Linked DNA regions of Canis lupus familiaris. The protein of the gene in region 4 interacts with the protein of the main gene of each other region in a biochemical or structural test. Links are inferred from orthologs where the notes say so. Each region holds a gene or a part of one and is shown on either strand. Other genes may lie near its edges. The genes, in order: NET1, CRIPT, ATP2B4, DLG1, RALBP1, SLC16A3 and MTMR1.

Region 1 (3,811 bases), on a different chromosome or scaffold from region 4:
ATGTTGGGCATGGAACCTGCTTGAGATTCTCTCTCTCTCTCTGCCTCTGCACCTCCCTTGAACAGGTGCATTCTGTCTCTTTCTCAAATAAATAGATAAATCTTAAAAAAAAAAAAAAAAATCCATGCTTACATTTATTTAGTTCTAGCAAATACTTTTATAATAAACATTCATTTTTAAAGATTTTACTTATTTATTCATGAAAGACAGAGAGAGAGAGAGAGAGAGAGGCAGAGGGAGAAGCAGGCTCCATGCCAGGAGCCCTATGAGGGACTCCATCTCGGGATCACACCCTGAGCCGAAGGCAGACACTCAACCACTGAGCCACCCAGGTGCCTGTATAATTAATATTTAAAAAATAAGTTTGCTTTCATTCAAACTGTTGTAGAAATTTGTTTAGTAGTGCTACAAGTTACTTCTATCACTATAAACTCTTTGAAAAAAAAATTGAAAGACATGTTTTTTAAATTAGGAAACTATTAATTTATTTTGAAAGGAACCCCTAGCCAAAAAAGTTGATTTATGCTTCAAAACTAAAATATAGGGCAGCCCAGGTGGCTCAGTGGTTTACTGCCGCCTTCAGCCCTGGACCTGATTCTGAAGACCTGGGATTGAGTCCCACAGGGGCTCCCTGCATGGAGCCTATTTCTCCCTCTGCCTGTGCTTCTGTCTGTCTCTCTCTCTGCCTCTGCCTGTGTCTCTGCCTCTCTCTCTGTGTCTCTCATGAATTGGTGATAATAAATAAAATCTTTGAAAAAAAAAAAAAAAACTAAACTAAAATATACAAACTGTTCTCCAACCAAGACCTTTGAGTCATTCTGTCACAACAGAAACCAAAGTTTGCTTCATCAAAGCTAATAATGTAAAGTAAAAACTAGTAATTTTCTCACTGTGATGATTTTATTTTAAAACTTGCTTCATAACTTATGCAGAAAAAATTAAACAAGGGGGAAAGGTGAAAGTAATAGCTCATTTCATATTGGTGAGAAAAAATATACACTCACATGTCCATTTTTATTCTTCAGCTCCCCATGGCAGAGCAGTACTTTGCTTGCTTCAATTCTAGGATCCTTCTGCTTTTCGTCTAGATACTCCAGTTTGTCAATGTAATATTGGCATTCTGATTCACCTTTCTTCAAGTTGATATCAGAGAGAACTCCTTGTATTATCAGTATCTAAAAGTTATCAAGAAATCAATGAAGCATTTTCAGCATATTAGCTTTATGGTTTCCTTACAGGGCTAAAACATTATATTAAAGTGATAGGATTTTAAAGCTTGAAAGGACTCTCTCTAGAAATCAGATAATTCAGTCAGTCTCTTCAATTTACAGATGAAAAGACAGCCACAGCCAAATTGGGTGACTTGCCCAAAGCCACACAGCTAGCTGGTGGAAGAGGTCAGATATTACAATCTAGTCTTCTGATTAAAATATAAATATAACACGCATTACGTCTCTTTACTGCTTAGTACACAAGTGTACTGGGTAATGAACAGAGCATTTTGCTATGTTGCAATACGCATAAGATTTGAGAGTACCACTGTGTATATTTCTAAGGCAAGCTAATATATAAACTTGAAAAATCTAAGAATCATTTACTAGACTTACAGCTTCCTCCAAAGGCTGAACATCAGGGTGGTCTTTTGGAGTGTGTCTAAGAATTTCTTTCAACAGTAGAGGGTATTTGACCAGGCGACTTCGAGGAATATCTAGAAAGCTCCAAAGATCTAGTTTTCGACTGAAGGGAGATTCAAGACATCGTTGGAGGAAGTCCTGGACGCGTGGATCCTGTTTCTTTTGATCAAGAAGAGCTTTGGCTGCCAGCTGGTTACTACAGTAGCCTTTGTAGGCATTCAAGCCTGGCAACTAAAGAATACGAAGAGAAAACACAGTAGGATACATGTTTTTGTGAAAACAAAAACAAAACTTGCAGCTAATTCTTGAAAATTTTAATAAGCTGCAAAAGTTTCCCTGCAGATGATGATGGGGGTAAGGTAGTATCTGAGCCAACATCAGAATGTCCTTTTGTAATTTTGACTACATCTAACCCAAGACCCATGGCTTCTACTTTCTCCCAGCCTCAGTTTAGATGGTAGTCTTCTATATTTCCAGGGCACCTGAGTGTTTCTCTACCACAGTCATCACCAACCTTAAGATCGCATATGTACTTGACTACCCACCCTTTCTCACTGGATTATAAATGTAGACACCTTCCACTACTGAACCCCCAGTGAGCCCTCCTGGAACAGCACCTAGCATCTAGGAGGGACCGAAATGTTAACTGAAGGAACAAAACAGGCAATGTGGGAATTCTGTCCCAAGAGAAAGAGATTTTTAAAACAAATACAACTGTATCATTCGTGAAGTATTTTCTTAAGTAAACACTGTAACTTCTTACAGCTATATAATTTTGTTCTGTCTTAATGCCTTGTTTCTCTGTTTTTAGAATTCATTTACTAGATCTGCTATTCACCACAAATGACAAGTATGGCATAGACTGAAAAAGGAGCTGGTGTAAGGAGCTCACTACATACCCAGTTCACAAGAATGTGACCAATTTGTTCCACTGTTCCACCAGGTTTGGTTGCTTCTCCTATTCTTGCCAACAAATCTGAAATGTAAAAAGGCAGAAATACCAATAACAAATTTATCTTAAAAAGTAATTCAGCACTAAATTAGAAGTTTAGATTCAAAAGAACTTGTGTTGGAGTGTCTGGGTGGCTCAGTTGGTTGAGCATCTGACTCTTGATTTCAACTCCAGTCATGATCTCAGGGCTGTGAGATCAAGCCCCACCTCGAGCTCTGTGCTGGGCATGGAGCCTGCTTGAAATTGTCTCTCTCTCTTTCTCTCTCTCTCTCCCTTCCTTCTACCCCACCTTGCTTGCTCTAAAAAACAAACAAAAAATACCCTCCCCCACAAATTAAAAAAAAAAAAACTTTGTGTTAATGCTGTTCAGACACTAATAGAAATTAAATATCATATATCTCACCTTCATGGAGAGGTATATAAGCGTCCAAATCACCAAATATATGGGTGAGTTCCTCTTCTGACATTATAGACAACTTTAACATAGGGTCATGGTAGGCCTGTCAGAGGGGGAAAAATATGTCACCCAAAGAGATCAAGCAAATAAAACATGATGAGACACCTTCCTTGAACGCAAACATGACTAACTATATAAAAGCTAGTGTGGATTCTATATGTTACACATAAAAGAAACCAAACTATATGTTAATACTCAAAGTCTCTTATTGATACTCATATTTGAAGAGATTTTCAAGTCATATAAAAAGTTTAAAATTTGTGAAATATAATTTTTTAAAACTAGAGCAAGTGATAAGAAGTTATTTACTGACCTTTCTTGCAAGCTTGAGATCCTCAATTAAATCCTGTTCACCTCGGGACATTTCATATATTGCCTAAAAAAAGGAAAAAAAAAAATCCAGCAAACATTACAGGTCATTCCTTCCTTTGAGAAAGGAAAATTATATACAATTGATATTTGTCATTAATTATTTAGCTGATGTTTTGCAGAGTGCTTTTTAAAATGATACAGTCTGAAAACTCTAACTCAGAATGGAATCTCAAGAGGTTGCCATATGTTTTATAACTTTGGTCCATCAGAGTTAACTTTGATGACTACCACCCATCACAAAATGTTCCTGCTCAGCATGTGTTATGAATTACCACTCAGATAGAAAACTGCAAGCTGATTTTGCTTAGGTATTAGTTTGCTATTCTTAAGACACAACATGTTTAAAAAATAGGGACTTTTTTTTTTAGTGTAAGACAAAAAATATGGCCTTGCTAC
Region 2 (4,258 bases), on a different chromosome or scaffold from region 4:
AGAAAAATCTTTCTTTCTCTCTATAAAATACACATCGTGGTATGTATAACATATATGTTTATTTATAAATTACCTAACGCAGAGCTTATACATAGTACTGGCTAATATCAAAGTAACAGTCCACATGTTACCCATGTTACACTGTGGTTGAATATTCCAGAAAAACAAAAGGGCAAGTCAAGGCCTTATCTTTACAGCTCTGATCTAGTTCACATTATAATTTTCCAAGGCAAATATTCTACTGATAAGGAAACAGGCTAAGGCACGTTGGGAGACATGTCCAAGGTCCCAAGCTCCCAAGCACTATAGCCACGTCAAACCCTCGCCTCTTTGACATAAATCTACACTCCAGGGGCCGAGAAGGGGATGAAGAGCAAGAAGGGAGGAAGGAAACCTCTCTGGCAGATCCGCTGACCAAGGGGCAGGGGCGCAGGATCCGGAATACACCGTCTGAGCGGACTATCCCTTCGGGTATGTTTCTGGGCCGCTCTCAGAATCCCAAGTGATATGGGCAGATGAGGCTCTAATACACGGAGCAGCACCCAACTGCTTACTGAATGAATGAACGAACGAACGAGGAGAAGAGGGTGGGCCAAAGGTCTGCCCCCCCGCGAAAGCAGCCGCGGGGGTGGGCCCTGGCGAGCACACCCCGGCGGCCAGCGCCCGCGCCCCCGCCCCCGCCCCCGCGGTCGGACCCGGCCCGCGCCCACCGCCCCGGAGGCTGCGGAGCTTACCCGCGCAACCCGCGGCACCTGCCCCTGCAGCCCCCCGCCAACCTCGGCCGCTCGGGACTCTGCCCGAGCCTCACCCCGCGCCAGTGTGAACGGGGGCGGGGCCGCGCTGAGAGGCATAAGCAAAAGGGCACGGGCGCGGAGACCGAGACGAACGGAGGGCGCCACACACAGGGACGGATCCGAGGGCCGGGTCCATCGGGGCTGCCCCCGGGTCACGCCGGAAGGGTGGCCCTCGGGCGGGCGGCGGGCGCCAGCGGGCCGGGGGCACAGACGCTCGCGGCCACGTGGGCAGTGGGTGGGGGCCGCTGGCACCCCGGGAGGCTCGCGTGCCGGGCGGGCGCCGCTGGGCTTACCTAACTCTCCCGCCAGCGGAAGAGGAGCGCGAGCTACCACCTCCCACCATCAGGTACGACTCGCCGCCCTGGCCAACGCGCAGGCGCAAGCCTGTGGGGCGGAGACCCAAGGCGGCACAGCCAATTGCAGGAGCGGAGGGGCGGGCAATGGGAGAAGCCCCGCCTCCCACGGCCTCTCAGGTGTGGGGTGGGCGGGGCGGTGGGCGGGGCGGAGGGCGGGGCGGCCGGAAGCGGATTTTCGTAACCCGGAAGGGGACGTCTGCCCCGGCTGTTGTGTTGACATTCTCGAGCTGCTGCTGTTTCTGCGGCCGGGGGAACCGTCGGGGAAGGATGGTGTGCGAAAAATGTGAGTTAAGGGGCTGACTCTTTGGGAGGAGGCCAGGAGAAGCTAGCAGGAGTTCTCCGGGGACTTCGCCTTTTCTTTGTCTTTTCTTTCGGCCACAAGTCTCTGATTCCAGCCTTTGTCCTTTATCCCTTTCACCGTTCCCATTGGTTTTGCATTCGGAGTGTTCTCAGTTTTGTACTGATTTGTCTATTTCCTTTGCCTCCCCCAGCCCCACCCCGGGATTTCATCCCATACAGCTCTTGACTGGCTCCTTAGCCTCACAGACCCTCAGCATTGGAATGGATCTTAAAAGTCATTTTTACAACACCCAGAGTTTCCAGATATAGCAGACATTTTAAAAATGAATACTTTTTTTAGAAGTATATCCCATGCGATATTTGAGACTTGTCTTTGCTCGCAGCTTCTTAGTACTGAAAGTGCTTTGGGCTTACCTTTAGGACATGACAATACTAAAACACCATTCATTGTTTATTTGAAATTTAAATTGAACAGGGCATCCTGTATTTTAACGAGCAACCCGAAGTTAGCATCCTTAAATGTTGACTTAAATGTTCTTTGCATGAATATCTGAGGTCTTGAGGCAGGGTTCAGAAAGCCTCACTACCTTCAAAACAGTCTGCGTAGATGCCACTGGCTTTTAGAAAGTTCCTTCTTGGGCAGCCCGGGTGGCCCAGCGGTTTAGTGTCACCTTCAGCCCGGGGCGTGACCTGGGGTCCCACATCGGGCTCCCCGCATGGAGTCTGCTTCTCCCTCTGCCTGTGTCTCTACGGCTCTCTCTGTGTGTCTCTCATGAATAAATAAATAAAATCTGAAAAGAAAAGAAAAAAAGAAGAAAGAAAGAAAGAAAGAAAGAAAGAAGAAAAGAAAAGATCCTTCATCCCTACAGTTGCCAGGCAGTGATTCTAATGCAAACCCTTGATGTTTCTGGAAAGTATCTTAGGATTTCTTTGATGTCACAGACTGTCTATATGTTTTAAAACGGCTCTCATATCCCTAAGTCTCTTTTTCCTCAGGCTAGACTTTTCTTAACAAGATTTCAAGTCCTCTTATCTGGATTAACATTAACTTGATCAATTCTGTTTATATTCTCCCCTCCCCCCCAGTAGATAAACCTTTAAACACAGGCACCCATGAGTTTGAATCACAGGTTTTACATTATGTAAAGGAATAACCATGGTGAATTACCTAATATTTCTTGGCTCCAGTTTTCTCCTCTGAAAAATGAGAATAATACATAATTTATGGGGTTTTGTGAGAATTAGATAATGCAGGTAAAGCCTGATATAAAAGTGCCTTAGTGTATACTCAAAAACTGGTTATTCCTATCATAACTCCCAGTATGTGGCACTCAGCATTAAACTCTGCTCCATTTTATGAGGAGTAGAGTGGGACTGATATTTTCATTTTTCTATGCTTTACATCATCATCTCACATGAAGCTTTTAAAAAATTATTGCAGTTCTACCAATTGGCATAGGTAGAAGTCACCCATTTAAAATGTGCCATTCTGTTATTTTTAGCGTATTCACAGGGTTGTGCGACCATCACCACAATCAATTTTAGAATATTTTCATTGCTCCAAAAAGTACATTAAGCTGTTTGACATTGACGTCCTTTTAACTCTACTCCATCCAATACTTATGAGGTTTTTTGGTTTTGCTTGTTTGAGTAACTATGTCTTACATATATTTAGGTTATGCACCTTCTCCATGTCTTTTCTCTTATGTAGGGTAGTTCCTAAACATGTAAATTAGCCTTCTTTGTAATTTGTGTTAATTCGGTACATTTTAACTTTAGAGGCCTGGCATTCTGACGGGCTTAACTTGTTTTGTGTGATGTTCTTTACACCATAAGTGCTTTTTTCCCAGGAAAATTGAGGATACTGGGCAAATTCTGAGAGGTAATTTCCTAAGGCACATAAAAATTTTGAGAAGCCAAGATCGGATGTGATGTTAAAATACACATAGTTTGGCTCTGGGACGTGATATATGTCATAAAGGTCATTTGCTTTTTACTTCTCTGCACTTCTGAAAGTCTGTATTATTTCTTTGCTCTAGTACCTTTCTACCTTCTGTACCATCTTATTCCCCAAATAAAAATAGACTCTTAATTCAAAGACCTTTCTTTCAGTCCCTTTCTGCTTCTCTGTGACTTTGAAACTTGATCTAGATTCTCTTTGAATTTACTTCTCTTCTTCTTTACCATTATAATCTCCAAGTTTTCTTATTCTCCCTCTCCCTTAAAGTAGATATTTCCCAGTGATCGACATCTGCCCTTCTTTTGACTCTTTGTTTTGGAAATATCTGGCTTCAAGTAGTTTATCCATGCCAGTGAATGTCTAATCCACATCTCCAGCCGACTTCTCTCTATACCAAGACCAATAGAAGAAATTTCTCCAGACAATACTGGGACCCTTCATCTGGTTGTTACATAGTAGTATAGTACTTCCAAGACTGAATTTGTCATCCTACTTTATAAATCTGTAACTTCTCTTCCATCATTTAATGGCATGGCAGTCCTCCCAGTCACCCATTCATAAAGCCTTATTCATCGCTCATTCGTTCTGGTATCCCTTTGTCAACCTGCATCCAAACACTTGCCTGTCCTGCTATTGTTACTTCCATTCAATAGCTCATATTTTCCCTAGCCTCTCATTTACCCCTTAAATAACCTACCTGAGGTCCCCATCACTCTTGAGTTAAACTAATGTGATCCCCTCCCAGCTCCTTTCTCTTCAAACTGTGCTCTCTCTGCTTTTGCCTCTTCTCTCCTTAAACTGTCCTGCATGCATGTGAAGGCCACTGGGGAAAACTCATAAATGAACCA
Region 3 (3,243 bases), on a different chromosome or scaffold from region 4:
CTGCCCATTAAAACCACTTATTATTTCCATTCCTCCATTCTCTTCATCCACCTCATCAGAAAAGGCACTTGTCTGGAGCACAGCCTCCGAGTGGGTGGTTTCTCTCCTGGTCCCAGCCCTTCCCTTCCCCACATAAGATCATGCTCTCTTCACAATTAGAAATAGCTGGAGAAAGCTGCAAGACCAGGCACAGGTGCCATGCACCAAAGACATGGACATGCATTTGAACTCTGAGAGCCAGCTCTTCTCTCCAAAGTTAGGATGAAGGCATCTTCTGATACCCGTGTTTCAGCCCCATCTGCCAGGGGAGGGGCAGAAGGGTGGAGTTTTGCTTTCTTTGAAGGAAGGGAACATGGCAGAGGTCGTGGGATAGAAATATCTACGTGTTTCCTGACTGAAAGAGCAATTATTAAACTGGAGAGTATAAGAGTTTTAATTTCTTGCATGCTGCTGACACAAATGACAAGTGTTTTGTCTGCCTTGCTGCACGGTATCCATGGCCACTTATCACTCAAAAGTATATTATGTACAAATGGGTATGCGTTTGGCTCTTTACGGGTTTGAAACAGATAACTAAACTTCAATGTGTAATTTTTCCATTCCACGTTCACAAAATGTTTGGCCTCGACACAGAAAGCCACATGTCTGAATCATCTTTTAAGTTCGGCTATTAATTTGCACCTGGTTCCAATGTCCTTGCCCTCCATCCAAAAGAACTAATGAACCCTTGTTTTCTGTTTCATTTTAAGAATGGTTTGGGAATGCTAACTTTGCTTTGGGTTTTCTACTTTTTTTTTAATGCAGCTTTGAAATATTCAGTTGTTTGCCATTACTCACCCCACGCCACCCATGCTTGAAATCTGGTGTTTCTAGCGTTCCATAATCTCTTCTTATGTGTTTGGTTTGGGTTGTTGAGCAGTAGTATTTCATAGTTGGGGTTTTGTTTCTCTCCTCAAACTGCCAGTTCTTTGTTCTACTGGCCAATTCCCACCTTCATGTTTTCTCATCCTCCTTTTCCTTCCCCTGGTATAGATCAAAGTGGTGAAAGCGTTCCATAGTTCCCTCCATGAAAGCATTCAGAAACCCAAGAACCAAAACTCCATCCACAACTTCATGACCCACCCTGAATTCGCCATAGATGAGGAGGTGCCACGAACACCACTCCTGGATGAGCATGAGGAGGAAAATCTTGAAGTTCCTAAGGCTGGGACTAGGGTGCTCCTGTTGGATGGTGAGGTCACTCCGTATGCCAACAAAAACAACAATGCGGTGGACTGCAGCCAAGTGCAAATCATTGCCTCCCACTCAGACAGCCCTCTACACAGCCTGGAGACATCCGTTTGAACTTCATTCTCTGACTCCCATCCCCACTCTCCCCGTGTCCTTTTTCATCTGCCCCATCTATAAGGTAACGATGGGACTTTTCACTGTCATGTCAGCTGCTCCCAAGTATGTGTGAACCCCCACCTGACCATGAAGAGGCAAGAGCACAGACCTACGAGGATTTCGACTTAAACTTGAGTTGGGGTTTGTAGCAGGACCCAGTCAAACCCCAGGCAGGTAATGAATGGTAGGATCTACTCCTTGGGTGTATCAGTTGTCATTTTTAAAGAAATGATGACAGTCCTCTTGGCATCTACCCCAACCCAGACTCTCCCCAGTATACATACGTATGTCGGCATCTCCTGACTTCTGGATTTTACCCTATGAGTCTGTGCCATGTTTAAGCTAAATAGAGGATTCCAAGAGACGAATGTTCCCAAATGAAATATGTTGAGGTAGGAATGGAATGTATAGAATCAGCCTCTAGAGTGATTGTTTTTTAAATGACTTTCCCATTTTCAAAACTTACACCTAGAGCCCTCTGGCTCTTTCTGCCCTTCTAGTCAAATCTCCCTAAGATTCTTTGGTCTTTTACGACCACTGTCTTCCCTACCTTCACTCTTTCTTTTTCTTTTTCTTTTTCTTTTTTCTTTCTTAAGTGGTGATGATTAAGAAAGTGGAAAGGACATGGCTGAATTGAATCAACTTTGGCCATTCTCCCGTCTGGCCCTAATGGAACCCTTGGTTTAGTCCTAGAGGCAGATAGATTTCTTTGCTACTGGGATCCTCTTGAAGCAATTGAGAGCTGGTAAGAATGTGTTTCTGTTGTTGCCAGGTTACCCTCCACTTCTGAACTGCCATCTTGTCAGGTGTGTGTCCTTTCTAAGTGCCAGGGAGGTCAGCCTTGACTGTGAAGCTTGCATATGTTCGCTATATAGTTTTTACCATAAGCCTGAGCTTTCTCCTATTCCTAAAGTGGTGGCAAAAGAATGGATCGAGAATGGCCCTGCCTCCCAACTGGACTTGGATACTGAGGACCAGCAGCTGGCAGGTCTAGGACAAGACATACCATCAGAGCCAACTCTTATGCGATTCTCCCTAGGTTGACCACTACTGCTTTCAAAGCCTTCCTCCACCAAGGCTTTTCTAGGACAGGACCTGATTGTTGGGGGAGTGAGTACTGAGAAGCCTTGGGGAAGGCCAAAGGGCCATAACAGCAGGTTCTGAGAAACCAGACACCTTGAGCCTAGGTGCCCAAGTACCAGCTTTGATGTACTCCTCAGCTTTCTCATTCTGCTCTCTCATGGCCCCTAACTCGTCCTGTCTCTAAACACACCCCAACCCTTCTTGGATATTCTGCTTTTGAAAATATGCATCCCATGTGGACTCCACTGACATTTTGCTGACTTAAAGGAGCAAAATACCCACCCTGAAAAGTTCTCCTTCCTCTCTTCCCTTCTTCCACATGTCCCACTCAAGGTCCTCCCCCGAATGTGGTTGACTGCTGCCCAGTCAAGCCCTGTGCCTTCTTTCCCTGAACACTGCCCAAAGCAGCCCCTTCCCACCTGCCTCTCAGGAGTTGGGGACTTCACTAGGAGATTTTTTTTAAGTGTTCCTTGATGGGACAAGGTGGAGCCACATTTGCAGGAGCTCCATGTTTATGCCCTGCTGATGTTGACATAAGCTCTTCTGTGCAGGGTGAGTTAGCTCATGTCTACCAATTCCCGTGAAAAAAACGAAGCCTGTCTCCCTCTTTCAAGAGAGATGGGGGTGGGGCTCCAGGCTCTTATGAACTGCCAAATTTCCACTTGTGAGAGTAAGGTGGCCTAAAGCTCTCTGCTCTCTGGCCTTCTCTTCTGGACCCCTCCTCCCTCACCCCTTCCACCTGAGCTGTCCGAGGTAGGAAGAGCAAAGGAACAA
Region 4 (3,650 bases):
AGTGGTTGTCTACACAGTAGTACTGAGCAATTAGTACTTTTATTAATGATTCTATACAATCTAGAAAGCTGCACTAAAGTTTGTATTTTCTTACAAAAATATCACTTAATAAGGACATCCAAAAGCAATGTAATACATATTGTAACAGATAAATGGAATCACCTGTTATTTTAGAACATGTAACCAGTTAAGTACTTCATTTTTTTTTTTAATTTTTATTTATTTATGATAGTCACAGAGAGAGAGAGAGAGGCAGAGACACAGGCAGAGGGAGAAGCAGGCTCCATGCACCAGGAGCCCGATGTGGGATTCGATCCCGGGTCTCCAGGATCGCGCCCTGGGCCAAAGGCAGGCGCCAAACCGCTGCGCCACCCAGGGATCCCCAGTTAAGTACTTCAAAATGGCTTATGCTGGGGCCTTGCTGTAGAGTGATCTGGGACTCTAGAGATCATTTCATAATAATATTCTTCTCGTTGTTTTATGTTTGGTAACAACCTACTATAGTTATTGTTATAGCCATAGTATGTATTTCAATGTGTTAACATACTCAATTCCAAACCCTACAGAAGAAAATTTGATTATGTTCCCCAATGGCCCGTGATGCTCCAAGATGTTTCAAAAAAGCGTTAGCTTGTAAAATAGTATCTTCTCTCAGAATTCAAGACACATTTAACATATGGATTTTACAATAAAGTTTATTAGCTGTTCTCCTCTTTTTCATAAATGGAATGGATAATGTTGATAATCCTTTACAAACCAGTACTCATTTAAGAAACTCTAATGAGGAGGTTGTCAAAAACACATATTTAATCAACAATTCCAAAAAAGCAAAGGGAAGCCAAACAATATTATTAAAAGACCAGAGAAGATGATTTCTGAAATCGTATCTACCTTTCACGAAAATTTCTTAAAATTCCTCACCATGAAGATCTGTGCAACTCTAGGACAGAGCAGCTACAAGAGGTGAAAGGCGTGCAGTCTGAGGGGAAAACAAACACACATGAGGCTTTTGCTTATTTGCCTATTAGTGAAAGGAGAAATGGAAAGAGAGGCAGAAGACCAAATCCAAATCCAATGACAAGAACAACAGTAATAAAAAAAACCCCAAACAAAACCAGGAACCATTTGAAAATTTTTGTAGAAAAGAGGAGAACACGCCTATACTTCTGTATGTAATCTAATTTCCCTAGAGGTTTCTTTCCACAACCACCATACCCCCATTTTCAGTTCACATGATTAAGGAAGATAAAGTCTAATCAATTAATATTTAATTTAAAAACCAAACAAAAAGTTAAGAGTAGGTGGCAAAAGAAAAAAATATATTTTAAATATATATATATGTTTGTGTGTGTGTGCAACTATGTAAAGAAAATAATTCCCATAGTTACAGAGTTTAGTTAAAGAAAGTTTTATATATATTTATATATATATATATTTTATTATAACAAAATAGGCAGTTACTGTGGGTAAAATATTCATTAAAATCTGATCCCTAAGAATACATTTAAAGTTTTAGACTATGAATTGGACTCCTTTTCCACTGCCATAATGATTACTACATCACCACTGTAATGTCTGTTCTCTCTCTGTATTTATGTCTATGAAATTTTCTCAACCTTGTGTGTAAAAGGTGAGCTCCCCTAGCACCTAAACATGGCCTCAATTCAGAAAATGTGATCATTATGTATGAACTTTTGTAAGACACTATAAATAGTCCTGCACAAGTAGATTAAAAACATTTATAACACTGCTATTCCTAGCAAATGTACTGAGAAAAAAACCCCTCAAACAGTAAGACATGAAGAACTCTTATGAAAAATGAGTATCCCTTGTGAAATTATGAAAGTTAATGCAGAAATTAACTTTGAAATTAAAGAACATTTTCCTTATTTGTCTATAATGAAATATTTGCTTTGATAACACAAGTCAATTGAGAAAAGGACTTGAAAGTTAATATATTGGCCAAACCATGCTATTAAAGTTAAGCGTGCACTGTTGCTCAAAGTTTACTAAATCACTGATTAACACCACTTTTCTTTCATTTATACTGAAATTTGAAAAGAATGTATATAAAGCTTTTCTGAAAAATCTCTTAAAGTTACTTTCCCTTAAACATTAAGGAATTTTACCACAATTTCCCAGTCTCCCCAAATCCTTAATAGCTGGTCAGGCCATTCCATCTTCAGTTCTGAAAAATGGCCACAAACCAATAGTGACATAAAATAATACAGATGCTACAACTTGAAGGAGACGCTAGTTGTCAAAACTAAGCACAACTGTAGATCATGATGAGTGGGATACGATTCAACATGGAAGGAGTATTGCAGACAGACTCCAAAAGGAAAGGGCAAAGAAGTGTCAGAGAAAATGAGATTGTGGAAAAGAGAAACAGAAACATCAGTCCTCATAACTTTTCTTTTGCTGGAACCCAGATGTAAGGACCAGATTGTTCTTCTATGATCTGCTTCACTTGGTTATAAATGTCTTCCAGCGTATCTCCCTGTACAATAGCTGTAATAACAGAAACAAAATTAGAAACCTCCGCTGTCTATCTTTACCATGACAACTACTGGTGGAGTAGAAGCTAAGTCTTAGAACTAGTTACTCATCTAGCAGGAGACTGCTTACATATTGTTTGCTTAGTAATAACCACTCATTTCATTAATTTTCTTATTTGAAAACCACAAGAATTTTTATTTTAAATATTGATTAAAAAGTGAGATTTGGTGATTTTTACTTAGTATTATATATTTGGGAGGTTACACACTAAAGTACCTAGGGGCAAATGGGCATCTGCCTGCCACTTTAAATGTTTCAGAAAAAAATTAAGCGTGGCAAAATGTTAACATTTTGAAAATATGGGTGATAAGTATATGAGAATTGCTGGCACTATTCTTTGAAGGTTCTAGAAGTCTCAATTATTAAAAAAAAAAAAAAGAAAAGAAAAGAAAAAAAAGCACATGGTTTATAACACCATGGCATTTGACGTACTTAGTGTGAACACCTGAAAAATAATTTAAAGGACAAAATGAATGAGAGATTCATTCACTGGGCATTGCTACCCACTTGTTTCTTTTTAAACAAATATCTTAAAACAGATCAAAATGTATAAAGCATAAGGAAAAAGTCAGTTTCACAGGAGAAAGCAAGTCTGATTCTATTTTTCTCCAGTCTAGTAGGTCTTAATCAACCACTTAAGAAACACTAACTTTTAAGATTCCTCATCATCACTGGCTAGGTTAGATGAATTATTCTGAAAACCATAGTATTAATTACATAGTAATTAATTACTGGTAGATGTGGTCATACGTTCAAAGTGCATTTCAATGCGTCAGTTCATATGGCTTCAAATCAAAATCCTGTCAGGGCACTGACACACATGATGCCAACCTGTGAAATGTTCAGTAAATTCTTGTTCCAGTTTCATGGCTCTCTCAAACGTCTTTCTGGCTTGTTCTTCTGTTAGACGCTTATTCATTTCCCTACACAAATAAATTTAGAAATTAGCAATTAATATAATACTTTTTGGAAAGAAGATGACAAAGGAGAAGAGACACATAAAACATAAAATCATGAAAAGTTGAGCTCTGCTGACAATATGTCATTAAAAATTAGATTCAGTCACCAAGTATATAGCTTTAAGCTTGGAA
Region 5 (3,811 bases), on a different chromosome or scaffold from region 4:
TCTCTGTGTCTATGAATAAATAAATAAAATCTTTAAAAAAAAAAAAAAAAAAAAAAAAAATAAAGGAAAGTAATGATTTGGAACACAGATGTTGCACAGGGCAAGACTTCCATACTACACAATAAAAAAGTCCTACTACTTTGCAAGAAATAAAATCTTTTTCCTTTTACATTTTGCTTGATTCTAGACACCCACATGAGATATTCTTGCCAAATATGAAATTTAAATTTTCACACAAAGGGAACATAAATAAATGGAAAATCAATTTCATTAATCTATGTAATAGCTGCACATGGCTGACAAAAGCATTCACATTTGGGCCTAAACATTTAACAAAGAACATTTCATGTCCCTCAGCTTAACTCAGGAAATACGATTATGCTAATAAAAGTGTCTCTGAAGCGTCCTTTACCCAGATATCTCCTCTCCTTCACAACACAGAGCTCTGCTCAGAGAGGAAAGAGGTGAGAAGAATACAGCACAGTCTGAGCACACCAGAGCGAAGGAACACTACTCCTATGCTTTGCTTATACTCAGCCGGGCGGCTGCAAACTATGAAAGACTCATGCATAAAGCCTCCTAATGGAAGGTAGTATCATCAGAAAAAAGCAAACTATCAAAACACACACAAACACATACACACACGCACGCACGCGTGCAGTGAGGGATTTTTGTTCAACTGCAAGGATCAAGGAAATGAATAAGGCTCAGGACCCATGCTACAATTTTCCTCACAAGCTAATCATTTTCCTTTCTTTAAAAAATGAAGGTGAATTTCTTAAAACCCCCAAGAGAAGCACATGTCCTCAATACCTGAAACTCTGTAGATGCCTTCACACTTCATGCCATACTTCTCCACGTAATCTACACACTCACGGAAAACCGCTGGCAGCCGAATGCCATCGTACAGCATGGTCCTCTCAGCTGCATCAGTCAAAGGGACTCCAAAGATGGGTTTGAGGTTCGGAACATCAATCTGAGGCACCTCTGGCTCCTGGATTGGCTTCTTCTTTTTCTTCTTCTCCTTCCACTGTTTAACAACATCAGCTGCTGTCAAGTCTTTTGACTTCTTCTCTTTATGTTTCTCTTCTTTGTGCTTTTCTTCTTTATGTTTTTCCTCTTTGGGTTTCTCTTTAATTTTAAAATCCTTCTCTTTCTTTTTAGAAAAGCTGGGCTTCTTGAAAACATGAATTCCCTTGGACCTCTTCATTTTGGAAGGACTTTCAGCTTCATCTCCAGAGCTGTCTTCCTGAAAGGCAGCATAGCCTTCAGCTGCCAAAGAAACACAGGAAACAGAAGTCATAGATCTGTTAAATGTCAAACCATGCCTAAACTCTCTAAAAACAGGACCAAAAAAACAGCGCTACCTGGCACTGGCTACCTTGCTTTTCATTTTCACTTCATGGTCAATCCCTCCTGGGTACTCCCAGTAAAGGAACAGGTTTCTTCTCAGGTAAAATGAGATGTGGCAGTGACATCTCCTGGCCACAAGAGGGGAAATGCAGAGTGCCAGTTACCATCACAACTGGTTTTAGGTGGAAGTTTGGCAAACCAAATACTATGAATACACAACAAAGGATCTACAGAGAGAGGGCTAAGTAAGAGTCCTATAATATAGAGCGTTCTTTCTGGAAACTGCAGCAGGGACTGAAGCTTCATTTGGGTGGAAGACAGAACCAGGAAATTTCCGAATCTCTGGATGGTGGCCAAATGCACCGGCCCACTTATGCATCATGAGCCTTGGTGTACACATACCGACACTTGTTTTATATCATATTAGAGCTATCCTAGCTTGCTTCTGTTATCTCAAAATATAATTCTCCTATTCTTTTCTTTAGCCAGCTACCTTGCAAGCTATTTCATAACAAAGATTAAAAATATTTCACAAATTACCTTCCATTTAAAATACCACAAACTCCACACTAACCAGAAGGGCAGAAACCTTAAGGGCATTATACCATGATCTAAAACAAATGCGGTTCTCAGACACTGCTGGTGTGAGTGTAAACCACTCTGGAAAATTGTTTTTGCAGGATCTATGAGACTAATGCTAAGATGAGTATGGCCTATAATACAGCAATTCCACATCCAGGCATATACACAACAGAAATATGTATAAACACCTACAATGACACTCACAGAAGCCCTATTCATAACAGTCAAAAATGAAAAACAACCCAAAAGACCAAGAATAGCAAAAAATTCTAGTATATTAATGAAATGAAACAAAATCCAGCAATAAAAATGAACACATTACTGCCACATAGAATAACATGGATGAATCTAATGAATACAACTTTGGGCAAAAGAAACTAGATGCAAAAGGAAATCTGGTATCAGTTAGATAAATTCAAAATCAGGGAGTTTCAAGCTATATTGAAAGCAGTTTACCTTTGGGAAGGGTGGAAGATTCCCTTTGAAGGGATAATGGAAAGGAATTTCTAAGCTGCTGATAATGCTCTATTCCCAGAGGCTTATAATTTAAGGACATACACCCTTTTTGTAATAACTCATTCAAGTTATATACAATTTGTGCATTCTTAGTGCTATGCTTCAAAAAACAAATTAACTTAAAAATACCATAAAACTCCAAATAAAGCAATACTTAAAATAACTCACCTGATCTGCTTTTAACATACTAAGGTGCTATGCTTAAAAAATTCATCTTTCCAAATTAAAAAATAAAAAATATATAAATAAAATAAATTAAATTTAATTTAAAAAAATTCATCTTTCCTACTGAATAGGAACTATAAATAGAATGCATTATAGCATTTGCTTAAGACAAACAAATAACTACTTTTTTTTTTTTACAGTTCCAATAAAGTATAGTACTGCAACTGGCTTACACAACCTAGCCAAGAAAGTAATATTCTATATAAGGGTGAAACTCCAGTATCTACTTTTTATGCATTATTTAAAATAATCAATATAAGAAACTTTCATCATAAAACTTTACCATTTCTGGAAATTTGGTATTTTTATTTGCAAGAGTAAGACCCTAAAATACAGCTCTACTAAACAAAAATTGAGATCCAGAAAAGAACAGACAATGTCAAACAAGAGTCTTTGAACATTGTCTCAGAAAATAGCAGGTGCATGTAATTTGAGTAAAAGTTTATCTGAAATATATCAAAAGCACATATAAAAATGGCACTTACTCCTTTTTTCTTTTTTCTTAAATTTTCCTTTTTTCTTCCCATGGTCTTTCTCATCATCAGATACTATGTCAGGAGGTTCATGGAGGCTGTCATGGGGAGGCGAGGGCTCGCCGGTGCGGTACAATCCAGGAAACTTAGTAGGGCTGATCTCCTCAGAGCTGGGGGTTCGGGTAAGACCACTGCCATGCTCCACCCTGCGGTGTTCACTGGGGCTGCTGGTGGGGGGCAGGAAGCACTCAGTCATTCTGCCTCCCTGATGAGACAGTGAAGAGGGTTTCTCTGTTACCTATCCATTACACCTGCACATAGGAAAAAAAGGTCATCAACACCAGTCAAAATACAAAAGCACCTCCCCACACACAAAACATAGTGAGTACTCTTGCATTTACAAATCAAAAATATTTTTCTTCATGACCCCTCTTTAAAAATATTCATTTTATCATCTCAAGTTATACTCATCACACATTTCAGTTTTCAGAGCTTTCAAAGAAAGCACTAGCATCTTTAAGTATTAGAAAAATAAACTAAATGAAAATCAGAGTTCTCAAAGTAGCACACAGAGCTCCTTTTACAAAGAAGTCCCCACAGTAAGAAGCTTCATTTTGTTTTTTGGGTTTTTTTTTTAAGATTTATTTATTTATTTATTTATT
Region 6 (3,811 bases), on a different chromosome or scaffold from region 4:
GCCCCTTTCTGCGGGGGACTAAGCAGGTTCCTGGAGGCTCCTGACACCTGCTGACTGTGAGCTGGGCCCTCCCAAGGTGGGCCCCCCTCCCCAAGAAGGCTCGCTGCCTGCTGCCCTCCCCCTACTCACCTCCCGATGGCGGCCCAATGAGCACGGCGATGGCCTCCAGCAGCAGCACAAGGCCGATGGCACTCGAGAACTTCTGGGTGCCCACGATCGCCATGAGTACCTCAAACTGCAGGGCCCCCACCATGCCGTAGGAGATGCCGAAGAAGATGCAGAAGACCACCAGGCCTCCGTAGTCGCTGGCTGTGGACCCAGTGAGGTCCGTGAAGCCATTGAAGAACATGGAGAAGCTGAAGAGGTAGACAGAGTAGGGCCGCACCTTTTTAAGGCCCGTGATGAAGCCAGCAGTGGGCCGGGCGAAGATGTCGATGAAGCCCAGCACGGTGAGCAGGAAGGCAGCCTGCGTGTCGGGCACACCCAGGTCCTTGGCGTAGCTCACCACAAACACGGGAGGCACAAAGAGCCCCAGCACCATGATGGAGGCGGCCACTGCGTAGATGAGGAAGCCACGGTCCCTGAAGACGCTCAGGTCCAGCAGCCGCCGGGACGGCCGCTGGGGCACGGGCCCCGACCCGGGCACCGGCGCCTCCAAGGGCCTCATGAGCGCGGCGCACACGCAGCAGTTGAGCAGAAGGCCCCCCAAGATGAGGAAGCCGCCCCGCCAGCCATAGTGGTCCTGCAGCAGCTGCCCCAGTGGGGACAAGGCACACAGGAACACAGGGCTGCCCGCGGCCGCCAGCCCGTTGGCCACGGGGCGCCTCTTGTTAAAGTAGCGGTTGAGCATGATGAGTGACGGCTGGAAGTTGAGTGCCAAGCCCAAGCCTGCGGGAGGGGCGGGCGGGTGAGGCGTCGGCCAGCCCCCAGCCCCTCGTCCCTGTCCCGTTTTCTTCCCTAAACGGTTCTACGTGGGGGTCTCCAGGTGTCCCTATGGGGGGCCCGGTGTGTGTCCAAAGCCCCTGTCAGATGAGGAACAAGGGACAGACCGGCGCGAGGGACAGCCCACGGCCACCTGCTCCTCAGAGGCCCTGCCCGGGCACATTGCCCCAGTACGCCTGAGGGGCCAGCCATGGTCTGCCCCGCTCCCGGCTGGGCCCCACTCACCGGTGATGACCCCTGTGGTGAGGTAGAGCTGGATGATGCTTCTGCAGAAGGACGCGGCCACCATGCCCAGGGACGCCAAGAGGCCACCCATGAGCATGACAGGCCGGCAGCCAAAGCGGTTCACGCACACACTGCAGAGTGGGCCTATGGGGAGGAGTGGGGGTCAGGGTACAGGGCAGGGCCAGCCTCTCCGCACTCACCCAGGGACCTGGCCCCCAGCCCAGCTCAGCAGACACACCAGGCGCTCAGGGTGCAAGTCACACTTAGAGGCCTGCCCGAGCACAGCATGGTTCACAGTGGAATGTCCTAGATGCACGTGGCCTGTGCCCGGTTTGGCCCGATGGGGAGCCACGGCCGCTCCAGGGCTGCACTCCAGGCCCCCCGGAACAGGGGCTGCAGGTACCCGATGCTCCTGCCAGCCCCCCACCCCCAGGCCTTCCTGGAGCTCCTAACCAGAACCGCACTTGGTGACCTCCCGAGGTGACCACCGGACGTGACCACCCCTTACCTGTCCCATACAACATGGCCAGCAGGATGGAAGAGATCCAAGCCGTGTCACTGTAGCCGATACCAAACTCACGCATGAGTTCCTTGAAGAAGACGCTGACCGCCTTGGGGAAGGCGTAGGAGAAGCCCGTGATGACGAAGCAGCCGAAGAGGACGGCCCAGCCCCAGCCGCCGTCAGGGGCCCTGATGCCCGTGGGGCCCTCATCGACCACGGCACCACCCATGGCCAGGAGGGCGGGTCGTGCGTCCCTGAGGAAGGAAGTCAGGCTGACTCAATAGTGTGGCCTTGGCCACCGCGGGGCCACAGCAGGGCCCCCACTGCCCCCCCACCTGAGAGCCCCGCCCCCGGCCCTCACCTGCGCCCCTCACCTGGGCCCGGGGTGGAGGGTCTGGGCGGACCAGCAGCTGCAGCCCTTCCTCCCTGCTTCCCGCTCAGGCCTGGCCTGCTCACACCCAGCTGGCTCTAAAGGGCAGTGGCTTTTTTGGGCTCAGCAAGGTCTCAGGTTACCTCCTGAGGAGGACAGACCCCAGTGGGGACGTCAGCCCAGCCCAGCCTCCTCCCCGCTGACCCCATGTTGGGGAGCAGCCTGTACTTCCCACCCCCTGCGAGCAGGTCCTATGACGGGGCCTGGGGTGGTGTCCCTCCAGACCTCAGCTTGACGTGTCCAGCCGTGCTCGCCCACCCCCAAGGAACAGGGCTCCCGTGGTCACACCGCACCCCGAGTGACAGCCTGAGGATGGGGCGGGGGGGGTGGCGCTCTCCCAGGCTTGGCTGTGCGGGCTGGCAGGCTGGGAAGTGGACAGTCCGTGCCGCAGAGGAGGCCTCTGTGCCCTCTTGCCCCTCGCCGTGCCAGTGCTGGCTCCTCCCACCCACTTATCCTCAGGCCGAGCTCCCACGAGAGCTGGGGGTGGTCTCTGCTGCTCAAGGAAGGGGAGACCCCGGGTGGGCAGGAGGGCTGAGTGAAGGGATAGGTGGGCAGCGCCGCCGCTTCCATGCCGCCCACTGGAGCAGCCCTCTCCGCCTCCGGGCTGCTAAGGCAGCCGTGCCCACTGTCGGCCCGAGACCCTACAGCGGCCCTGGGCCCACTTCCCTCCCAAACCCCCAACTTAGCCCTGTTGAGGCCCAGCAGCTTGGAATGCTGGGACCGGATGTCCAGCCCAAGACCTTCCCCTCCCGTCTTCGCCCCTCAACTCCTCATCCTCACACAGAAGCCCCTCACCCCACAGATCCAGCTGGTGGTCTGGTTCTCCCCACCTCATGGGACAGAGGCTGTTCTCTGTGTGGGCGGGGAGGGGGGCAGCCCCTGGGCTGCTGCCAAGGATCCCTTCTGAGAGAAACAAGCCCCCATGGGGAGCGCTGGCCCACACTGATGCCCAGGAGCGCCCCTGCCAGGTCCCTCACAGCCCCCGTGTCAGGCCTGCCTCCACCCTGTCCCCTTTCAGACACAGTCCTCCTCCTCGACCTTGACCTTGCGGAGCCCCTGGGTGGCGCGTTTGCGTATGTCGGGCCGAGTCGGGGCGTAGCTGGAACCTGGACAGGACTTTGGAGCGAGCACAGGGTCAGCGTGGGGGGGAATGACCCCCTCCCAGCATCGAGGTTGCATGTGAGCCCTGCCCTCTGGGGACCCTGACTTGGCTGCCTGGGGGGCACCTGGACTCCGATTCAAGGGGTGTTGTGTCCAGGCAGGGGAGTGATTTTGAAGACTCTCCGGGTGATCCCAAGCGGCTGCTGCTAAGGAGGAGCGCCGTCTGAGGCCGGGGTCCCCAGGAGCCTGCTGGCTGCCAGGCCGGTGATGAGGCTGACACAGCCCAGTGGAGCAGCACACGGCACCAGCCCCCCTGCACCCCTGCCCCCGGGGAACCCAAGAGAGCGCCCCCCCCAAGGCTCCCTACCCCATGCCCTTTGGCCCCCCCTGGCCCCCCTGGCATCCCTGGAACCTGGGACAGGACTGTGCCGGGATCGTCTGGCCTCACCCCTGGGTCCTCTCCTCCAGGTGCCCCCTCACACCAGCCACGTGCCCGAGGCTGGGACGGGACACTACATGGGGCTGAATCCCGCCCCCAAAACACACTAGGTGGGTACAGCAAGCCACGGTATCCCTTCACCTCACTAGCGCCAAGCTTCAGAGGTCCCCAA
Region 7 (4,455 bases), on a different chromosome or scaffold from region 4:
GGCAACACCATTTTCCCACAAGCCCCAAATCTTGGCATCTTGATTCTTCTCTCCCACCCAACAAGCAATGTTCTTCAGCAAACCATATTGGCTCAACCCTGCAGGTTTTTTTCAAATTACATCTATAATCTGACCACTTCTCCCTCCTCTCCTCCAGCTATCTAGGTCAGCATCCTCTCTTACTTGGATGACTGCAATAGTCTCTTACCCGCTAGTCTCTCTGCTTCAATCCCTTCCCCTTTTCCGTCTGTTGTCCACACAGCAACGACAGGTTTACTGAAATCTACACCAGGGTATGGCAGTCCTCTGCTCCAAAAGCCCCAGTAGCTCCCCATGACTCAATCTGCCCCTGTGACCTCTCTCCTAGCTCCCTCCCCTCTAGTCACACTGGTCTCCTTGCTGATCCTTGCACACTTGGTCCACCCCTATCCAGGGTGCACAGGCCTCTGCCGGAATGCTGTCGCCCTCAATATCTGTATGACTGGACCCCTCCCTTCTTTAGGGGCAGTACTCAAATGTCACCTTTCTCAGTCAGACTTTCCCTGACCATCCTCCGTAAAACTCCAATTCACCCCCCAAACTGCAGGCCCCCAACACCTCGTATTCCCCTCCCAACTTAATTTCTCCCCTAGCACCTGTCACTGTCTAACAGAGGATGCAGTTTACTTGGTTTTTGTCCATCCAAAACAAACCAAACATACTCTCCCCAAGGGCAGTGATCTGTGTGTGTTCGTTCCCCGCCAAATCTACAGGCCCCACACGGTGCCTGACACAGAGGCGGCAGTCCTATACAAATGAACGAGTGATTTGCTTTTCCATAACCTATTCAATAAGACTCCTCGCCTCCAGTCCATTCACCACACCCCTGCAGAACAAATGTTCTCAAACATCAAACCCATCCCATCAAGTTCACCTGATGGAAATCCTTTTGTGGTCCCCAAAGCTAGGGTGACCATATCATCTCCCATCCAAACCAAGACACTATTGAAGGAGGGCGCTATTAATAACCGTGCCTGCCCAGCTAGTAAACCGGCACCATCCTGGGCAAAAGAGACTCCCTGGCCCAACTTACTTGCAGCTGTGGGTGATCGTTGAAAGTGCAGAACTCCAGGCCATGGCCCTGAGTTGGACAGACCAGACTTAGGGTGGGACCCAAGAACCTGCATGTGGACCTTGCGCCGGAGGGGATTCCCATGCAGGTCACACACAACCATGCCCTGAGAAGCACGGCACAGAAGATAAAGGCACAAGTCCCTAGGAAAGCACTCAAGCCCCTTCAAGATCTGGCCTCTGCCTTCCCACACATTTTGTGTCCTACCAGTTCCCACATCTAGCATCGCCTGCGTGACTGCACATTCCACTGCCGTGGCCAGAAAGTCCTCCCCGCCCTGTCCCCTGGCTAACTTCTCATTCCTGGCCCTTCAACTCAAATGTCAGCTTCCTCAGCAGGTCTCCTTCCCTTAACCGCCCATAATCCTCAACCCCCTTCCACTGAAAATAAATCAAGCACCCCACCTCTGTGTGCCCACAGTGCAATGAATCGAAAAGGAGTCTGCTGAGGCTTTTTGAAAAATGCTACATTCTGGCCCTCACCCCAAACCTCCTGAATCAGAAGGCTCAGGAACTGGGCCTGGTCACCTGGAGTTCTTAAAAAGCTTTTCAGATGACTCCCACACATACCCCGTCCAGAGTACTTGTTTACCTTCACCCTAGCAGTCAGCAGATTCGATTTAAATTGCTGGTTTGTTTGTATTCTTCCTGAGAAGGTAAGCCTGAGAGCAAAAGCCACCTTGTACTATTCTGTGACTCTCCAAGCCCTCAAACACTGGGGAAATTCTGCAAATGAGGGCATCCTGACTGCTCCAAGTACTATAGTTCTCAGTGACCCTGATTGCTTGGGGGATTAATGTGGAATACTCTGTAATTACAGTGAGGTAGGAACAAAGGGAGTGTTTCTTGTTGTTGCTACACTTTGGGAAACTCCCAAAAGTTCAGCTCTCTGCTATGACTAACACCGGCAAGAATGAGCATCTGAAACTGACCAAGCTGCCTTACGACACTGTTGCCTAAGTGACCTCTCCTGTCAACGAAGTGGCCAAGATGTGGGAAAACTGGATATTCCGGGCCACGGGAAAATCAATCCACTGCTCATCCTTGGAGCCTTAGGGTGGCCCTCCCAGTTGGACCCGGTCGGTCTCTACTTCTGACATAGAGCGGCTCTGCCTAGGAAGCAGTAGTAGGCTTCTGTGTTCAGGAAAACAATGAACCGGCTTCCTTCAAAGTGTGAAAGACTGAAATAAACGATTGTGTGTTCCTGCATCAGGAGCAGTTTGGAAGTTTTCCATCCTTTCAAATCGGGGTAACTTTGCCTCCATCCGCAGCAGCTCCAACACCCACGGGGTTGCGTCCTCCAGTCCTCCACTCCCAACCCCAAAGGCAAAGCCCCCCGCCCCCCCCGCCGCCCCCAGCAGTCCCGGGGGGCGGCGGGATTGTGGTCTTCCAACCCCCGAGAGGGAAGGCCACGCTGAAAGAGCTGAGCCCCGGGTTCAAGTTTCTCCCCACAGGCGCCGCGGCCCCGGTAAGGCCAGCGGGGCGCGTGGCAAGGTGCGGCGGGCAGAAGCGCCGAGAAGATTTGACAGCTGCGGAGCCCCTAGGGGTGCCGGGAGCCCCGGCCGGCAAGGCGGAAGTGGGCCAGGTGCGCGCCCCGGGGGGCGGGGGCAGGGCCCCGGGTCCGGGCCAGGAAGGGGGGCCCGGCAGGGCAGGGAGCGGCGGGGAGGGGGTGCACGGCCACCGCGGCGCGCGGGGCCCGGGGGGGGGGGGGGCGGGGGCGCGGAGGCCGCGGCGGCCGGGGCCCGCTTACCTGTCCAGGGTCTCCACGCTGGGCTGCCGGGAGCCGACGGCGGGGCCTCCGGCGCCTCGAGGGGGCCTCCTGCCGCCCGCCGGCCCGGGGCCCGGGCCCCCGCCGCCCTCGCTGCCCGCCGCCGCCGCCGCCGCCGCCGCCGCCGCCGCCGGCCTGTCCATGGCGCGCCGGGCCCGCCGCCGCGGGCGAGCCGCAGCGAGAGGGGAGCGGCGCCCGGAAGGGCCCGCCGCCGCGCCGCGCCGCCCGCCGGCTCAGGCGGCCGCCGCCATTAGCTGTCACCTGGCGGCCCCGCGCTACCCACAAGGCCGCGCGCGGGGCCGGGGGCGGGGAGCGGCGCGCGGGGCTGGCCGCGCCCCCGCCCGCGGAGCCCCACCTGGGCCCGGCCGCGCGCCCCCGAGCCGGCTGGCGGGGACGCCCCGGGGGCCGCGGGCCGCTCGGCGACACGGCGAGCCGGGACACGACGGCCTTCCCTCCGCTCGGCGTCCGGGGAAGCTCTGACGGGAGGGCAGCCCGGCGAGCGCTCCCCACGCCCTCCGCCCCTCCCCCGAGCCCACCTCCCCGCCATCTGCGGGGCCACCGCGCCCCCCCGCCGCCGCCCTCGGAACTTCCGCCCCCGCTTCGTATTAGCAGTGACAGTCACCTTGCGTTGCCCGGCAGATCCACCAACATCTGGCGACCTAGGCTCAGCCCCTGTCAGCTCGCCCCTGACTTGGTTTGCGGACGGGAGGGCGACCGTGACTCAGCCGTTTGCTGTGATTGCCCCGGGTTTCCCGGGTCGCGGCGGCAGGGGCGGCGACCCTGATAACAAGCACACCTGTACCGGGGACATGCCCGCTCCCGCCCCGGGCCCGTCTGGCCTTCCCGCCTCAGCCACTTCGAAATGAACCTCGAGGGTGAGGACGCGATGCCTGGAGCCCCGCAGCCATCCTGCACCCCAGAGGGCTGGGCCTCGGCTGAAAGGGTGACAGGGCGGGGAGGGTGGCAGGAAGCGCCCGAAGATCTCGAGACCCCCGTGTAGCTCCCACAGGCTCGGCTTTTCCAAAATTATCACATCAGGTGTTTGATCCACGGTTAGACTGTTTCTGTCCACACACGCACATCCCCCATTCGTAAGTTGAAGCCCCAGCAACTGCAGGGCACCCAACCCTCCCTCGATGGCATGTGGACATGACACCTTGGGAGGTGATTAGATACAAAGATGGGGCCCTGGCATGGTGATATTACTGCTCTTGCACGAAGACACCCCGGAGAGCTTGGCGTCACCCTCTCCCTGAGCAAGCACTGAGCAAAGGCTGTGTGAAGGCCCAGGAGAGACCGCTGTGGGCGAGCCAGGAAGAGGCCTCTCCCAGGAACCAGCCTCAGCCTCGGACCTGCCAGCCTCCAGAACTGTAATGCAAGCAGCCTTGCTGCCCTGAGATTTGTCAGAAACAAAATGACAAGATTTTAAACATAGTTTCAGTACCAGATCCTTCAACGGGGCCCTGCTGGTGAGGGCTGCGGTGGGGGCAAGCCTGCGGGGCTGTGGGAGGATAGGGCTGAGGAGGGCTTCCTAGAGGATGGCACGCAGACCTGAGTCCAAGAGTCATTGCAGGCAT

What was found.
Region 1: the proteins of DLG1 (region 4) and NET1 form a complex in vitro, tested with the Homo sapiens proteins (3 studies listed by BioGRID and IntAct, with this or other methods). The link is inferred for Canis lupus familiaris from reciprocal best matches to the Homo sapiens genes DLG1 and NET1.
Region 2: the proteins of DLG1 (region 4) and CRIPT form a complex in vitro, tested with the Homo sapiens proteins (3 studies listed by BioGRID and IntAct, with this or other methods). The link is inferred for Canis lupus familiaris from reciprocal best matches to the Homo sapiens genes DLG1 and CRIPT.
Region 3: the proteins of DLG1 (region 4) and ATP2B4 form a complex in vitro, tested with the Homo sapiens proteins (2 studies listed by BioGRID and IntAct, with this or other methods). The link is inferred for Canis lupus familiaris from reciprocal best matches to the Homo sapiens genes DLG1 and ATP2B4.
Region 5: the proteins of DLG1 (region 4) and RALBP1 interact in a test that uses a peptide from one of them, tested with the Homo sapiens proteins (2 studies listed by IntAct, with this or other methods). The link is inferred for Canis lupus familiaris from reciprocal best matches to the Homo sapiens genes DLG1 and RALBP1.
Region 6: the proteins of DLG1 (region 4) and SLC16A3 interact in a test that uses a peptide from one of them, tested with the Homo sapiens proteins (2 studies listed by IntAct, with this or other methods). The link is inferred for Canis lupus familiaris from reciprocal best matches to the Homo sapiens genes DLG1 and SLC16A3.
Region 7: the proteins of DLG1 (region 4) and MTMR1 interact in a test that uses a peptide from one of them, tested with the Homo sapiens proteins (2 studies listed by IntAct, with this or other methods). The link is inferred for Canis lupus familiaris from reciprocal best matches to the Homo sapiens genes DLG1 and MTMR1.

Annotation. Positions count from the first base shown.
Region 1 is NC_049223.1:29,484,496-29,488,306, forward strand, and holds part of NET1 (neuroepithelial cell-transforming gene 1 protein), read right to left. Parts: intron 3,420-3,811; coding exon 3,357-3,419; intron 3,087-3,356; coding exon 2,990-3,086; intron 2,611-2,989; coding exon 2,534-2,610; intron 1,866-2,533; coding exon 1,608-1,865; intron 1,176-1,607; coding exon 1,005-1,175; intron 1-1,004. UniProt on the Homo sapiens protein: Acts as a guanine nucleotide exchange factor (GEF) for RhoA GTPase. May be involved in activation of the SAPK/JNK pathway Stimulates genotoxic stress-induced RHOB activity in breast cancer cells leading to their cell death.
Region 2 is NC_049231.1:49,891,121-49,895,378, forward strand, and holds the start of CRIPT (cysteine-rich PDZ-binding protein), read left to right. Parts: upstream 1-1,307; 5' UTR 1,308-1,417; coding exon 1,418-1,433; intron 1,434-4,258. UniProt on the Homo sapiens protein: As a component of the minor spliceosome, involved in the splicing of U12-type introns in pre-mRNAs. Involved in the cytoskeletal anchoring of DLG4 in excitatory synapses.
Region 3 is NC_049259.1:1,011,848-1,015,090, forward strand, and holds part of ATP2B4 (plasma membrane calcium-transporting ATPase 4), read left to right. Parts: intron 1-1,032; coding exon 1,033-1,344; 3' UTR 1,345-3,243. UniProt on the Homo sapiens protein: Calcium/calmodulin-regulated and magnesium-dependent enzyme that catalyzes the hydrolysis of ATP coupled with the transport of calcium out of the cell. By regulating sperm cell calcium homeostasis, may play a role in sperm motility.
Region 4 is NC_049254.1:30,716,609-30,720,258, forward strand, and holds the end of DLG1 (disks large homolog 1), read right to left. Parts: intron 3,483-3,650; coding exon 3,391-3,482; intron 2,512-3,390; coding exon 2,405-2,511; 3' UTR 678-2,404; downstream 1-677. UniProt on the Homo sapiens protein: Essential multidomain scaffolding protein required for normal development. Recruits channels, receptors and signaling molecules to discrete plasma membrane domains in polarized cells.
Region 5 is NC_049228.1:75,572,647-75,576,457, reverse strand, and holds part of RALBP1 (ralA-binding protein 1), read right to left. Parts: intron 3,461-3,811; 5' UTR 3,406-3,460; coding exon 3,162-3,405; intron 1,273-3,161; coding exon 814-1,272; intron 1-813. UniProt on the Homo sapiens protein: Multifunctional protein that functions as a downstream effector of RALA and RALB. As a GTPase-activating protein/GAP can inactivate CDC42 and RAC1 by stimulating their GTPase activity.
Region 6 is NC_049230.1:935,548-939,358, forward strand, and holds part of SLC16A3 (monocarboxylate transporter 4), read right to left. Parts: exon of another isoform or gene 3,370-3,811; coding exon of another isoform or gene 3,358-3,369; intron 3,279-3,357; coding exon of another isoform or gene 2,247-3,278; exon of another isoform or gene 1,924-2,246; 5' UTR 1,899-1,923; coding exon 1,676-1,898; exon of another isoform or gene 1,312-1,675; coding exon 1,168-1,311; exon of another isoform or gene 889-1,167; coding exon 130-888; exon of another isoform or gene 1-129. Other genes in the region: uncharacterized protein LOC119876620, read left to right, coding at 2,247-3,278, 3,358-3,369. UniProt on the Homo sapiens protein: Proton-dependent transporter of monocarboxylates such as L-lactate and pyruvate. Plays a predominant role in L-lactate efflux from highly glycolytic cells.
Region 7 is NC_049260.1:120,240,570-120,245,024, reverse strand, and holds the start of MTMR1 (myotubularin-related protein 1), read right to left. Parts: upstream 3,022-4,455; coding exon 2,861-3,021; intron 1,814-2,860; exon of another isoform or gene 1,703-1,813; intron 1-1,702. UniProt on the Homo sapiens protein: Lipid phosphatase that specifically dephosphorylates the D-3 position of phosphatidylinositol 3-phosphate, generating phosphatidylinositol. Could also dephosphorylate phosphatidylinositol 3,5-bisphosphate to produce phosphatidylinositol 5-phosphate.